2 linked regions of the Lonchura striata genome follow. The protein of the gene in region 2 purifies or fractionates together with the protein of the main gene of each other region. This does not show direct contact. Links are inferred from orthologs where the notes say so. Each region holds a gene or a part of one and is shown on either strand. Other genes may lie near its edges. The genes, in order: SF3A1 and PHF5A.

Region 1 (8,103 bases), on a different chromosome or scaffold from region 2:
CCCCAAACCTCCAGCAGCATCAGCCCACTCTGGCACTGGCTGAGTGAAGGAGGCCCATCCTCTGCCCATCCCCTCAGCTCTACAGCCCAGTCTGGGGGTGCAGGGGGCTACACGGGTGTGAAACACTCGTGAGGCCAGGGTGAGGGTGGAGATGTGTGAGCTGGGTGAGTCCCTGCATGAGCCCCTTACCCAGCTCCTGCACAGCCACCTGCTTTGCTGCCAGCTCCTCCTTCAGGGCCCGCAGTTGCTCCTCCAGCAGAGCAGCTCCTAAACCAGTACAAAAACCCTCTCATTAACCAGTTCTTCAAAATAAAACTAAACCAAGGGGCAGCAAACAGCCACACCAAAGAGTTTTCATCCTGATTGTGCTACCAGGGAGGAGGCAATGATAGGACACACAACCAACTCCCACTGCCTGGGATTGGCCTCACAGCAGGGAGAATCCCCCAGCACCTACTAAAAGTCCTGCTGGTTGTGGAGGGGCCAAAATTTGCCCAAAGACTGTTATTCTGCCTGCAAATGCCCCCAGGCCTCTGTACCTCTCCGGAGATCATCCTTGTCCTGCTCCAGCCTGGCCACAGCCTCGGAATGCTCCTTTTCCTTGGCTTTCAGGCCCTGCTCAGCCTTCTTCTGCTGCTCTGCTTGGGTGGCCTTCTCTGCCCGCAGCTTCCTGGAAAAGTCCTCAACCTGTTTCTGCAGCTTGTCCTTCTGTCTGCCCATCTCTTCCAGCTCAGCCTTCACAGGGTTCAGCTGCTGCAGCAGCCCCTGGAGGTGTTTGTTGATCCGGGAGAGGTCCTTGCTCTGCTCCGAGGCCCAGTAGCTCACGTCTGTTGCAGAGAGGTTCCTTCTCCCTGAGCTGTCCTCCAGCGCCTCCTGGAATTTGCTGAGAGCTGAAGGGATGTTCTGGCTCTGGCAGATGCTGGTGATGGCTCTGCCCACCTCGTGGAGGCTGGCCTGGGCGCTGGAGCAGGTGTCACAGGAGCCCAGGGGTGACCCTGGGGTCTGTGTGAGGACACTGCGGGTGCTCTGAGCCAGGCTGGGGCACGCAGGAGTGGACTGGGCAGCCTCTGGGGCAGTTCCTGACTCCAAAACATCTGGAGAGAAGCGTTTCAGGTGCTCCTTCTGGTATTTCCCAGCCTGGGGAGCAGAGGGTGGAGTGGATTGCTGTGTGGGGATCTCCCACCTACAATCCCTCCCCCGAGGGAGAGAGCACAGAATGAAACCAGAGCCCAGATCAAAGTGGAAATGACCCATAAAAGCCTAAATCAGGTGTTGAGATAGGACAGCAATGCAGCCAAAGGGACAGTGACCAAGGGGAAGCCTCAGCAGCAAAACATACTCCCCACCATCCCTTCTTTCCCACCCTCTGCACTGCCTCCTGGTTTTGCCACATGGATTGTTCTGAGACTTTTCCATGAGAAAGATCATGTTGGGGAAAATAAAATGCAGGAGAGGTTGTTTTTACCACCAATTATTTCACTGTCTTGAGACAGCTCAGCTCCACAGTGGGATCAGCAGAGCTGCAGCATTTTGGCAGTAGGAGAATATTTTCCAAGCTCTAGAGGCAGCCCAGCTCACTCATCCCGAGACCCTGGAGCAGGAGGGATGCAGTGGCACAGCTGGGAGGGGCGGAGGGAAGGGACAGATGTGCGACACAGGGGCCAGCACTCAAAGGGTGCGCGGCCACAGGGTGTTGAGAAGGCCCACCACGATCCAAATCCAGAGGGGGAGAGGAGTGACTCAGCTCGTGGGACGTCCCCAGATGTCCCACCTCGTGGCGGAGCTGCTGGCAGAAGGCCCCGAGTTTCAGCATGGTGCTCCAGAAGGTCCGGGCCGTGAGCCCCGCGGACATGCAGGGCCCCGGGCCCCGCGGCGGCGGCACCGCCCGCCCGCTCAGCACCGCGTCCGCGTAGCCGGTGAAGCTCTGCAGCAGCAGCAGCAGCCTGTCCCCACGGGAAAACACACCCTGGAGCTGGCACTGCCAGCTGGGCCAGGGCCGGCCCCCTCCCATCACCAGGCAAAGCCCCGGGGATGCGGGAGGGCGGGATGGGTGCTCCCGGGACTGCCCCGGTGTGGGCAGTTCATGCAGCAGCCACTTCCCAGAAATTGTGATTAAGCTCCCCCCAAAGATTTGGCACTGCAAATCCTGACTTTTAGGGTCAACAGCTCAGTGGGAATGGCTCATCTTTTAAATCAGAGCTGTATTTATTTCACCCAGACTGCAAAAGGGGCTTTGGCCTGCCGGGGCTGTTGATGCAGCTGTTTCCAAAGTTTTGGGAGGTATTTTAATAAGCCTGTCCCATCTGCTCCACCTCTGGCTCTGCTTCTTTGTGGCCAGTGTGTGCTGGGAGCTCTAAGCAGGGAAAGGAGTTGGGTTTTAAACTCAGCAGAGCATGAGGCCAAGGTGCTGGCACTGCCCATCGTGAAGATACATGGGGAACAAAGCATCCAAGACTTCATGAAAACATGGGATATCCTGAGCTGGAGGGGACCCAGGAATCATCCAGTCCAACTCCTGTCCCTGCACAGACACCCCAGCAATCCCACCCTGTGCCTGAGAGCATTGTCCAAAGGCACCTGGAGCTCTGGCAGCCTCGGGGCCCTGATGTGGCACTTGGTGCCATTGATAAGGTGGCATTACATCTTAGGTTGCACTTGATGATCTCCAAGGCCTTTTCCAACCCAGCTGATTCTGTGATTACTCCCTGGGGCACCTGCCTGAGCACCCTCTGGGGGAAGAACCTTTTCCTGATATCCAGTCTAAACCTCCCTGACACAGCTCCAGCCATTCCTTTGAATCCCATCCCCGGTCACAGAGATCAGAGCAGTGCCCCGGGAGGAGCTGCAGCCCCGCTGAGATCTGACCTCAGTCTTCTCTGTTGCAGCTGAACAGACCAAGTGCTCTCATGCCCAGCCCTTCACCACCCTCTCCGCCCTCATCTGGATGCTCTCTAACAGCTTTGTCTGTGCTGAGGTGCCCAAAACCTTTGCTAGGACTTGGATAAGCCCAGCACATCAGACACAAGGTGCCCTTCCCCGCGGGGCAGGAGCCGCTCCGGGCTGCCTGGGGGCTCTCACCTGTCAATGAGCAGCTCCAGCAGCACCACGTGTGCGTGCTGGCTGAACTCGGGCTCGCTGTCGCTGTGCCTGTAGCGCTGCAGCAGCAGCGCTATGTCCAGCTCGCAGGACACCTTGTCGGGGAACTTCCAGGAGGGGAAGCGCACGGCGCCGGCCCGGGAGCACACGTCGGCGATGGCGGCCTGCAGGTCCCGCAGGTCGGCCCGCAGGCTCTCCATGCAGCCGCGGTGGCCCAGGAGGTGCGCCATGGGGCGCGGTGGGCCGGGCACGGGACCGGCGGGACACGGCCGGGGAGCAACGGGGCCACCAGGCCCGGGAGCGATGGGGCCACCAGCCCTACCGGCACAGGCTGCTGGAGCAAACCCGCACGGCACCCCCGGGCCCGGCAGCCTCCAGGAGTGCCGGGGAGCCGGAGGGAACCGGGGGGCTCGGAGGAATCAGCAGCAACCGCGGGGAAGAAGCGCCGGGCCCGGGAGCTGTGCTAGGCCGCGGCGTCCCAGCGCTGTCGCCATGGCAACCACGCCCCTCCCCGCTGCAGTGGTGCATTCTTGCACTGCCCCCCCCGCGCGGGGCGCTAATGGTACATCCCGCAGCGCCCTATCCCCGCCCACATCCCGGCCATCTGCGCCTGCGCTCCCGGTGCGTCACTTCTGGCGCGCACGCGCGGCACAGCGCCCGCCGCCGCCATTTCGCCCCAGTCGGAGCCGGCGCCGCGTCCGCTCCGCACAGAGCCGGGCCCGCTCCGCACAGAGCCGGGCCCGCTCCGCACAGAGCCGCGTCCGCTCCGGACAGAGCCGGGCCCGCTCCGCACAGAGCCGCGTCCGCTCCGCACAGAGCCGGGCCCGCTCCGCACAGAGCCGCGTCCGCTCCGGACAGAGCCGCGTCCGCTCCGGACAGAGCCGCGTCCGCTCCGCACAGAGCCGCGTCCGCTCCGCACAGAGCCGGGCCCGCTCCGGACAGAGCCGGGCCCGCTCCGCACAGAGCCGCGTCCGCTCCGCACAGAGCCGCGTCCGCTCCGCACAGAGCCCCCGGCAGCGCCTCCATCGGCCCCGCCCGGCGCGGAGCCCCCGGCCCCGGCAGCGCCATGCCCGCCGGACCCGTGCAGGCGGTGCCTCCGGCGCAGCCCGCGCCCCCCGCCGAGAGCAAGCCGGTGCGGAGCGGAGGGGAGGGGAGCGGGGAATGGCGCGGAGCTCAGGGCTCTGGCAGTGTGGCCCTCACGGGCCGGGCCGGGCTGGGCTTGGGGGAGCTGCGGCTTCGTCCGGTGCGCGGTGTTGACCCCTGTGCCGCGCTCGGGTGAGAGCCCACCTGCAGAGCTGCCCCAGCCCTGGGCAGGCACAGGAGGGACCTGGAGCTTTGGAGAGAGTCCAGAGGAGGCACCAGAGATGCTGCAAGGGCTGGAGGTCCTCTGCTCTGGAGGCAGGCTGGGAGAGCTGGGGGTGCTCACCTGGAGAGGAGAAGGCTCCAGGGAGAGCTCAGAGCCCTTCCAGGGCCTAAAGGGGCTCCAGGAGAGCTGGAGAGGGACTGGGGACAAGGGATGGAGGGACAGGAGACAGGGAATGGCTCCCACTGCCAGAAAGCAGGGCTGGATGGGATATTGGGAATTAGGAATTGTTCCCTGGGAGGGTGGTGAGGCCCTGGCACAGGGTGCCCAGAGCAGCTGTGGCTGCCCCTGGATCCCTGGCAGTGCCCAAGGCCAGGAGCCTGGGCTAGTGGGAGGTGTCCCTGCCCATGGGCTGGGGTGAAATGAGATGAACTTTAAGGTTGCCTTCCAGCCCAAACCATTCCAGGATTCCTTGGAGACAGCAGGATCCAGCTGGGGCTGGGCAGGAGCTGAGCCCTTCCCTGGCAGTGCCCTAGGGCTGTGGTTCCAGTGAGTTGGGGGGGGGGTTGCCAGGAGCTGTGGGAGCTATCCTGGCTCCAGGAATGATGTGTGGAGGGATTAAAAGCCTGAGGGAGTGTGGCAGTGCTGTGTGTCCCTGTAATCTCCCAGAGCCTTTCTCTCTTGGCCATTTTCATGTTCTTTGCAGCCTTCCTGAGATGGGAATGTTCATTCCTCATGCATTCCTGAGATGAGAATCCAGCTCCCACAGAGCTGAAGCTGCTGTCCTGACTCTCACACAGGAACATCAACACTCTTGGGGCTGACAGGGAGCTGATCTCGCTGAGAACCTTGGAAAATTGTGATTCCCCCCCAGAAAAACCCAGTGGCTTTTATGCACAGTTGTTACCAAGGCAACATAGCAGCATTGTTAAATATCGCTAGTGTAGTGTTGCCCCATCCTTCAGCTCCTCAAGATGATGTTCTGAGGGAGTGGGAATAAAACCTAGAAATGTTCATGGTGCCTTTTTCTTAACACACCTTGTTAAGGTTGTGTTTTATGGGATGGTTTGTTTTGGAAGGGACCTTAAAGCCCATCTCATCCCACCCCCTGCCAGGGCTGGGACACCTTCCATTGTCCCACGTGGCCTTGGGCACTGCCAGGGACCAGTTTGACTTCAGAACATTTTCTGGCTTGGATTTTCTGTGGATTTGACAGAGCTGGGAGCTCTACCTGGATTTTAAATTATCCCTGACTGTAGCCCTGTTAGGATTATAAACATTTCCAGCAGATCTGTCCCAGTTTATAACACCTTTTCTTGGAAGCTGCTTGGTGAGGAAAGAGAAGCAGCATCTTTAGTATCCTGCAAAAGCATCTTATGGTTTTACTGGAATACAGATCCTCCTGTAACATCAGTGAGAAAAACACTCTTGGAGATTTTCTCTTCAAAACACCTTCTGTTGCAGCTACAATGGCATTAAAAGCTGTGTTTTATTTAATGTGGAGTTAATAATTCAGGTCCCACAGGCCCCTAGGAAGATGCAGAACTTCCACAGCTGCTGAGGAATGATGAATTATTCCTGGAAATGTTACTGGAGCCTCTTGGCTCAGCATTTAAAAACATACTTGGGGTCAAGGCTGATACAGTGAAAATTGTTTTGGTTCCCATGGGGGCACCTTCCTTGTCCTGCTGTCTCTGCCCCTGCAGCAGGTGCCCCTGAGAGTCCAAGGAGTTGGTGGGATGGATGATCCAGATTGTTCAAGCAGTTCAGTGGCTGAGAGGCTGAGGAGGAGGATGGATAAAGGTTCCTGTGTGCCATTGTTTGGGATGCCTAATCCTGACTCCCCTTCACCTTTTGCAATGAAACTGTCTTCATTACAGCCAGAAGAGGAGCCTAAAGAGGAAGCAGCACCAGCCAAGCCTGTGGTGGGAATTATTTACCCTCCTCCAGAGGTCAGGAATATTGTGGACAAGACTGCCAGCTTTGTAGCCAGGTAAGTGGCACTGGTGGTGTCTCTTTCCTGGGATTTTCATGCTTCTGCTGTTCAGTGCAGCTCTAGAAGCTGAAGCAGGTCCCAGTTTTGTGGTTTTGCGTGAAGGATTTCAAGGATTGAGGTTGTACCAGTGAGACTGAAAAAGAAGTCTCTTCAGGAGAGGGTGTAAGACACCCTTTGCTAGAGAAACTGGTAGTAAATAAATAAAGTCCTTGTTCAAATGTGCAGTGAGTGCTGCAATAACTAGGTGACCGGGCCTGTTCTGAATGATCTGAAGGGGAAACCAAATATCAGGTGCAAAGGGAGCCCTGGTACAGGAGTCATGGCTGTGTTTTGGTGCTAAAATGTGGTTGGTTTTGGTTCCAGAGAATTACTAAATGCTGCTCCAGTCCAACCCTTATTGTGTTACTCATCTTGAAAGTGCTGCCAAGGAGCGTTGGCTGCTTCTGAGCATATGGGGCTGTGTTTATCCTTTGGGATTGCAGAGAGCTCCTCTTTTGGAGGAGCTGGAATGTGTAAATGAGACTGGGAGTTATCCAGAGAATATGAAGAGGAACACCCTGTGGCAGCTGGGAATTTTCTCCAGCTGCCCTGAAATCACTGGCTCGTGCTTTGGGTGGGAGGAGGGGATTTTACTTGGACTGGGACTCCTAAATGCAGCACTCTGGGCTGGTCAATCCCTGCACAGGCTGATGTTTACCTGCTTTTTTTCATCATATGATCACTCTAGAACTGAAATTAGTCTTGAGAACTTGTTAATAGAGCAGATAAAATGGATGTAGTAAGTAACTTGTAAACTTCATGCTTCATAACTGTAAACTTCAGCCAGTGGTGGAAATGACCTTTGAGTGCAGACAGATGTGGCTGGCGAACACTTGTGAGTGTGAATTTTTAATATTCACATTAAAGGCACAATTAGGGTGACAGTTGCATCTAACTTGTGTGTGTTCAGCTGGTTGTGAGCTACTGAGGGAGAAACTCTGGTCGTGTGAGAGAGAGAATGATCTTCCAAGGGGCTGATGCCTCAGCACATCCTAGTCTGAAAGAGACATTTACCCTTGAGTTGATCTAAACAGCTTTTCTTCTTGCTCCCCAGAAATGGTCCAGAATTTGAAGCCCGAATTCGTCAGAACGAAATAAATAACCCCAAGTTCAACTTCCTGAACCCCAACGACCCTTACCATGCCTACTACCGGCACAAGGTCAGCGAGTTCAAGGAGGGCAAAGCCCAGGAGCCCTCGGCTGCCATCCCCAAGGTCATGCAGCAGCAGCAGAGTGCCCAGCAGCAGCTCCCACAGAAGGTGAGTGTTCCTTTTCATCACTTTGGGGGAGATTTTGGCCACTTTGGGGTGGTGTCACAGCCTGGGGTTGAGAAGGAAGGAAGCTTGAAAGTCAAGAAGGAGCAGTTGGTTGTACATCAGTCAAAATGCCAGCAGTGACAGGCTTGGAGTCAAGTGTCTGGGGCTTTGTTTTGATGCAGATGTGCATCTCCCAGCTGCTGGTAACTCAAAGCTGTTTGAAACTTTTTTAATTGGTCCATTTTAAGTAAGTTTAGCTCTGTATTGACTTACAAAGTACTTGGATGTGGCAGAGGCAAGCCTTGGGAATCCCTTGAAGTTCTGTTTGGCCTTGTTGCATGCACTGTTCTGTAGAAACTTTTTGTGCCAGAAGGATCGACCTTCCCTTAAAACATGGGGTACAAAGTGCTGCT
Region 2 (7,204 bases):
GTGAATGTGCAAAAGAGTCAGAGATCCTTAGAATGAAGAGCATTGCAATACCTCAAAATGCTTTGCAAACACAGAGACCTATCAACAGGGGAATAAAAGTTTCAGATATTGCAAATGAGTGCAGATTGTCCTAGTAGTAATTACAGCAGCTCCAAGCCCCTTAAAGGTAAGCATAACTACTATGTAGCTGGGATGGCAACTTACATCTTTTTCCTGGATGGTGCACTCCTTGCAGTAGTAGGCATCGGACACTCCGGGCCCCCCACAGATGACGCATCGGCCCTGGTAGGAGCCATAGTTACACTCGTCACAGATGCGCACCAGGGTGCAGGGCCGCACGTAGGAGTCACAGATCACACACTTGCCATCACCTGCCAGCACAGCAAAGCCTTTGGTTACAGAATGTCCTTTCTGCCACCTCCACATCAGAGGAAAAGCTTCCTGGTCCAATAACTTCCCTGTGCACTCAAAGTGCTGAACTGCAGAAATGTGCTTGGCAGGCACAGGGCACAACTTTGTACTGTACACAGACTTGAGAGGAACAAGGCCATGGCCCACAATATTTGAGTTTTTTTTTTTTAATTTAGTAATTTGTTCACTGTCAGAGAAGAAACCCAAAATTACTTGGATAACTACTGTGTGATTAGTCAAGACTTGCTTAGATTGTACCACTACTTTTACTCTAAAACTTTTCCTGACTTTCATTTGCAAAGAAAAAAAGCCAGAATGACAGAACTAGAGTCCTTACCTACACAGAAACTGCAGCGTAAGCTTCTCCACAGTGACAAATCAACAAAAGTCTGGAGTTACTATGCTCAAAGAGATAAGAGATTGTACTCATGGTCCCTTTAATCCTTCATCTGTGACAAGGTCAAAGGAAGGGCAAACTGGCATAAGCAGCCATTTCACAAAAGTTACTCTTACGCTCTCACAAGGAACTGAGTGAAATTCAAGTACTGATATCATACAGGCAAGGAGCCATCAGATGCCAGTAACAGCTTCTGCTGAGCTGGACCTTAACGAAAACACTGACCTACGGATGAAAGGCTTCATATCCTATTACCAGTTCCCAAGGTATCTAATCCTGACTCCCACAAACAGCTTGCCTAACCTGCTCTTAAATCTCTGGCGTGACAGCCCTCAGCTACTACCAATGGGAATCTGTTTCACTGTCAGGTGCTCTTGAAAATTGCTTCTTGCTTTAGACTCTCCTTCTCCCATTTTACTTATTCTCACACTATTTTATTTGAGTCACAAACTACTCCCTCATTTGTTCTGTTCCCCTCAATGATCTAATGACAGATCACAAGGATCTAACAACAGATCATACTCTTTCTTCCCTTTCACAGATAAGCATTTGATTCCATGGGTGTTTTTCCTGCTCTAACTTCTGACATTTGCCCTCCATTTTTTCTTGTCCTAGATGCTAATGGAGACCTTTCTTACAGTATGATGAAGCCAAAACCCAAAAATGCATTTTTCCCCCTCCTTTAAAATGATCAGGATGATATTTTGGTATTACAGATTACAAGGATCCAGTGAAACAGCCACTGTAGCCTCAGCCACTAGAAATGATGGCAGCAGGTACACTACAACTGCATTTGTGTGAGAGTCTGTTTGAGCTTGCAACTTTTTAAGTATTCCTTGAGCTACACTTGCAATGTTACAGTAATTGTTCCCTTTTCAAAGGGTGACATTAAGTTTGGGGTTAAAGCAAAAATAGAATCCAACCTTCAAACCCAAACTACACACTCTAACCACAACACTACATTCTCAATCAACTAAATGTGGTTGATATACTTACATTTTTCACAGAGTCTTCCGATTGCTGGGGATAAAAAAAGAAAAAAATTATTTGAGGCAAGAGAAAAATCTAAGCAAGTACAAGCTTGAATATCAAATTATTATTTTCTGCAATAAGCAGTCCTTAAAAAAAATGAAAGGCTAAACTATAGAAACAGTTTGAGCATAAATAGATACATTCATGATAAACAACATATATCCTCCTGGAGAGATTTACCAGAACCCAAGATGCACTATACATGCACAATGATATCCCTCTGCAGTAAGAAAACCTACATTCATCATTCCATTTCAAACACAGCCGGTGTATCTGACTGAAGAAAATGTACATGAGTCTTGTCACAGCTTTTACACTGGTTTTAGTGGGGGGAAAAAACCAAAATCAAGTGTTTGTTTCAAGCCATCCAAATACCTTCTTTGCTTTAGAACATGAAGGTAGTTAAATGTACCTGAGAAGTCTTCTCACTTGTCTGGGACACTCACAACAATGTTAGGAACTTGGATAAATTTAATAAATATTGAGTTTCAAAGACTAGACGTGCACATCAACGAAGACTAAATACTGATTTGTCTGAAGTCTGAGAGAAAAGGGATTTGTCAGGACGTGACTTTTCAACATAGACAAATGGTTAGAAGCACTGACTATTCTAAAAAGAGATGTGCAGCTGAATGCTTTGCGTTTCTGGATCTTGCAGAAAGCTGCTCGTTAAATGTGCTTTTCCAAGGAGTGACAAAAACCAGGAAGGGATACCTCAACTTCTAATCTTGTATAAGAGTTCTCTGAACCTTGACCCAAATGCTGACTCGGGTGCGACAAGGATAAACCCCGTTATCTGTATTGCAGGAATAACCCGGAAGAGAACTTTTGTCTCGCAGCCAGAAAGATGCTCCCAAGTGCTGCTGGATCCACAACGCACGGCGGGGCATCAAAAATAAAGGAAAATAAAAGGAAAACAAAAGAGGGAGGGAGGAGCGGGTGGCGCGCCGCCCCTCCCCCTCCCCCGCCGGGCCTAACGGCCGCGCGCGTGCCCGACGGCCGGTAAGGCGCGCGCGCCTCCCGCTCGCCCCGCGGCCCGAAAACGGGGGAAGGAGCTCCCCATTCGCATCCTCCCATCCCCCGGGACCCACCGACGCCGGCCTGCTTGCGGCAGAAGATGAGGTCCGGGTGGTGCTTGGCCATGGCGAGGCGACACCCGCCCGGCGCTGCTGCTGCTACTCCTGCGGCCCCGCGGAGCCCTCACCGCCGCGCCACCCCCGGGTCCTGGCCGGGGTGAGCGCAGCGCCTGCCAAAGCGCCTCCCCCGAGCGGGAAAACGCCGAGGGATGCCGAAATAAACCCTCCCCCTAAAGCCACCCCATCTTTAACCTTCCCCCTCCCCGAGCAGCCCCGCGTGGCAGCCGACGACCCTCTCCTGTCGCGGGTGTCTCCCTGCCAGGACCCGCGCGGCCACGCCCCCGCGCGCGCACCGGAGATGTCAAAGGGGCCGCGTGACGCCATCGCGGCGCGACTCCATCTTTGTCAGTGAACAAAATGGCGCCGTACTGCGTGCTGGCGGCTCGGCTCAGGGTGAGCGGCGGTGGCGGGCGGGGCAGGCAGCGGGCGGGACGGGCGCAGGGAATTGCGGCAGGGACAAGATCACTGCCCGCTGGGCGGCCACGAGGGCGGCCGCTCGCCCGTAGCCTCGGGGTCAGGCCGTCCCCGCCTCCGCGTGTAGGTCAGCGTGTCCCCGCTGCGGCCCCACGCCCTGTTTCCATGGCGATGGTGGGGCAGCCGCGGCTTTGGCGGCGGCTGCGTGGCCGCTGCTCGGGCTCGGGTGCAGGACGGCTCCCGCTACCGGGCCCGGCCGGCTGTCAAGGTGAGTGCAAGGTGAACGGGGCGGCGGGGACGCGGCCTGGCGCCGCCGCCTCCCCCGTCTGCCCGGACCCCGCTGTGGTGGACTGCAGCCGCTGTCAAAGCCTCGGGCCTAACAGGGCAGTGAGCCCGAGGGCGCGGGCCCGAACGGTGAAATAAAAGGTCTTTCCCCGGGGCAGGCATTTTTCTTTCCCTCGTCTTGTATTACTTCCCCTATGGGCATGCGGGAGCACAAGGTGACTCCTTATTGTGTGAGTGAGCTGTCTTTTGGCTACTTTGCTTCAAAAATACTTCTTTTAATACAAACAGAGGCTTCTGGGTGACAAAGGTGCCAGCCTCTCTGTATGGGGAACTAGGACAGCTGAAGAAGCAGGCAGGTCAGACACATAAATTGCCTTTTTTCCTGGGGCTGTGGTAGAAGCTCTCACAGTCTTGACTGTCATGACCTCTAAAACTCACCTTTGCCAGTAATATGATCTTGTCCCAGAGATTGCCTTCCTTGGAAAAGACTTTGTTGAGTTTAGTGTCTACTCAGTAATAAAGTTTTCATATCTTTTAAAGCCTGTAAGGCAAATACCAGGTGCAGTTTTCTGTTTAGGGCTGCTAAGGGATAAGGAAACCTTTGCTCCCCTCTGATAAAGGCCGGCAGTGGAACTTCTCAGTTTGCCACTTTTGACCTTGGCCAATGTGTTCCCCTTTCCTAGGGAACTGAAGTAAGAATTTGGTTGGCTTTTAGTATTCTAAAAGTATTTTTTGAATCTTAATTACAGTTTGCTTATTAGGTTATTGCTGTCTTGCTTTAGAGGTAGATGTTTTAGAAAAATATAGTAGTTTTTAAATTTAAATGAAAGCTACAGAATTATACCATTTTGGTTAGGTTGGTATATTTGTTCTTACTTAGTTACTTGTTCTTAAATAGTTTTTAGTTTGTACTTTGAACAGAAATGACTGCTCATAAAATGAAGGCAAATCTTTTATTAGGGTAATGAATTGGTTCTTGTTTTATGCTGTGACATTGCATGAGAACAAGCAGTCATTTGCTAAAATTAATATTGTATTATGCAAAACAAAGGCTATGCTGGCATAGTTGGTATGGGAAATTTAGTATTCCAGGAGGTTGTCATCTATTATCAGGCTCAGGGTCCATATTTATTTCCTCCCTGTGAAGGACTAAATCTGTGATGTTAATCAAACAAGTGATGTCTTTAGGAAGCTCCTGTGGAGCAGCCTAGAGGTTAATGAATATGAGCATCATCTTGTAAATTACTGTGATAGGGCCAGTATTGACCATGGCACATATTACTACTATTGGTTCTGCTTGCCTCCTGTCCTGGAACTGTTTTGGAAGTGGAACTGCAGAGAAAGCTTGCCTCTGAAAGAAATAAACTGGAATTAGCCTGATTTGGACTGACTGTGCTATTTGTAGTATAGTTCTAATAGCCTCAAAGAGTCAAGATCTCTTTTCTGCCTACCTGAAATAACACTTTCCAGTAGCATTCCACTTTTTGAGCCATGTTGCTTGAAGATTGACTGAAAGGGAGCACTGTAAAGCTCTAAACTACCTGAAATACCAGGTTTATTGAAGGCTTGTGGGTAAGTACCAAAATTATACATGGACCGCTATGTGTATCTGGCAGAAATGTTGGCCAGGGCTAAACTGATCTTCAGAACCATAATTTTGGTTGCTATTTTGAGGTGGGTCCAGAAAATGAGCTTGCATTTACAATTTTATTATACCACACTACTTTTTTTTTTTTTTTAGGCTGAATCATTGCGAAAGTTGGAAGCTTGTCCAATGTTCTTAGATCAGGAAAGATGGTATTTTGGGTTTCAGCTGGGATTTCTAGGACAGATTTCCCAGACAGAAGTGTACATAACACAGTTGCTACTCTTTTGAATATGAGCTTTTGCTCGCTGGACTTGTCTGCCGTATCGGCTCCCAAAATGCAAGTTATTTTCTGAATTCAGACTCCCCTTGCACCTGGAACATTCACAGTAGTGAACTAAATGCATGACAGCTACCTTAAAATTTATAAAGAGCAGTGTTAACTTCCTCACAGAGATTTCAGAAATAATGACCCATTTATTTGCTTTCTTCTGTCTTTAAAGGAAGTTTTTCACCTCATGAAACACCAATAGGCTTAGGAGTCCTGTAATGATTACTGCCATTCCTTTTACTGAAATTTGAACAAGGACACTGCAAACTGGAATAAGGGATTCAGTGCCAGGTGAGAAGAGGTCATTTGGCAGCTGTTTGGTCAGTTCCTGGATAAAAAGGAAAATTTTTAGATTGGTGGCTGCCTACTTCTCTTGGCTCTTGGACTAAAGGCACTTCTCACTACTTACTGAGAAAACATGGAAGTCCCTGCGAAGCACTTGTAGATTCCCTCTCAGAGAAGTGTGAAAGGGAATGAAACTGGGAACTATCAGGCTTGTGACTTGTCCTTAATCTTGCAGCTCTGCACCCTGTTTCTGAGGATGCAATAGGAGAAGGACAAGCATGGAGAACAGACAGGTGTGATGAGTGATACAGTGTAGATTCTTTGTGAGGAGGGATCAGACTTTTGAACCAGGCAGTTTATACTTGTTGCTTAGTGGTGGGTGGTGGTGGATCCTTAGACTTGCTGGGTGCCAACATGAGAAGAACCATATTGAATCAAATTAATTCCCAACAGAAATAGGGATTAGGTTTATATCCTGGTAAAATGAAGATGGCACTTTTTAATTAGATGCCTTTTAAAATTCTTATGTAGAGAAAAATGCTTGTCTAATCTACTGAAGGTGATCGGCTTAGGCAGTTATTTTTCGTGGGTCATACTGGCCATTACAGAAACAGACCTTCAGTTTTCCAGACTTCTCCAAGTCCAAAGAGAGTCCTTCACCTTAAACACGTTGTCTTCCTGCTTCTGGTAGTGTGAAGCTGTGGTCAGCAGGATTCAATTACTTTGTATTGCTGATCTTGCGATTACCAGCTGAACATTGCCATAGTACTAGAAAAAAATTACATTTCCTTGTGCCATTTCATAAAGTGAAAAGACCCATAGACATGGATGTTCAAACAGAAAATATTTTGTTTGAGAAGTTTTGTTGTACCTCTTTTTGAAGTGCCCTACTTCAGATTTCTGTTTTAATCAGCTTTGGTCCCAGGCAAGAATAAGATGCTATGAAGCCTGTGCTATTACTTTTATTTGCATCTCTGGTCTTCTCTATGATGAATTAGGAAGAAATTACTACATTAAACCACAATACATTTCCTAGCCTGGGAAAGAGATTATTTTTCTATGAACAGTGATTAAATACCTCAGTGTTTTTTTTTCCAGCCATTCCAGCAGTTGAAGACTTTCACAAGATGGAATATCTTGTGAGGTTAAAAAAAAAAAAAAAAAAAAGGCTAGAACAAAGCAAACATAAAAGTTACATGGCTACTAGATAAAGAGCAGCTTTGCCTAGTTTGTATATTAAACAATGAGAAGCTGGGTGGTGTTCGTATTGGTGTGGGTGGTTGTTTTGGGTTTGGTTTTTTTTGGGTTTTTTTTTTTTTTTTTTTTTT

What was found.
Region 1: the proteins of PHF5A (region 2) and SF3A1 purify together in Homo sapiens (affinity purification with mass spectrometry; 3 studies listed by BioGRID and IntAct, with this or other methods). This does not show direct contact. The link is inferred for Lonchura striata from reciprocal best matches to the Homo sapiens genes PHF5A and SF3A1.

Annotation. Positions count from the first base shown.
Region 1 is NC_134620.1:2,637,336-2,645,438, forward strand, and holds the start of SF3A1 (splicing factor 3A subunit 1), read left to right. Parts: upstream 1-4,880; 5' UTR 4,881-6,138; coding exon 6,139-6,392; intron 6,393-7,488; coding exon 7,489-7,693; intron 7,694-8,103. Other genes in the region: coiled-coil domain-containing protein 157-like, read right to left, coding at 190-267, 540-1,137, 1,772-2,011; coiled-coil domain-containing protein 157-like, read right to left, coding at 3,075-3,326. UniProt on the Homo sapiens protein: Component of the 17S U2 SnRNP complex of the spliceosome, a large ribonucleoprotein complex that removes introns from transcribed pre-mRNAs.
Region 2 is NC_134607.1:58,398,178-58,405,381, reverse strand, and holds the start of PHF5A (PHD finger-like domain-containing protein 5A), read right to left. Parts: upstream 3,114-7,204; 5' UTR 2,984-3,113; coding exon 2,932-2,983; intron 1,829-2,931; coding exon 1,805-1,828; intron 372-1,804; coding exon 205-371; intron 1-204. Other genes in the region: ACO2 (aconitate hydratase, mitochondrial), read left to right, coding at 3,334-3,369.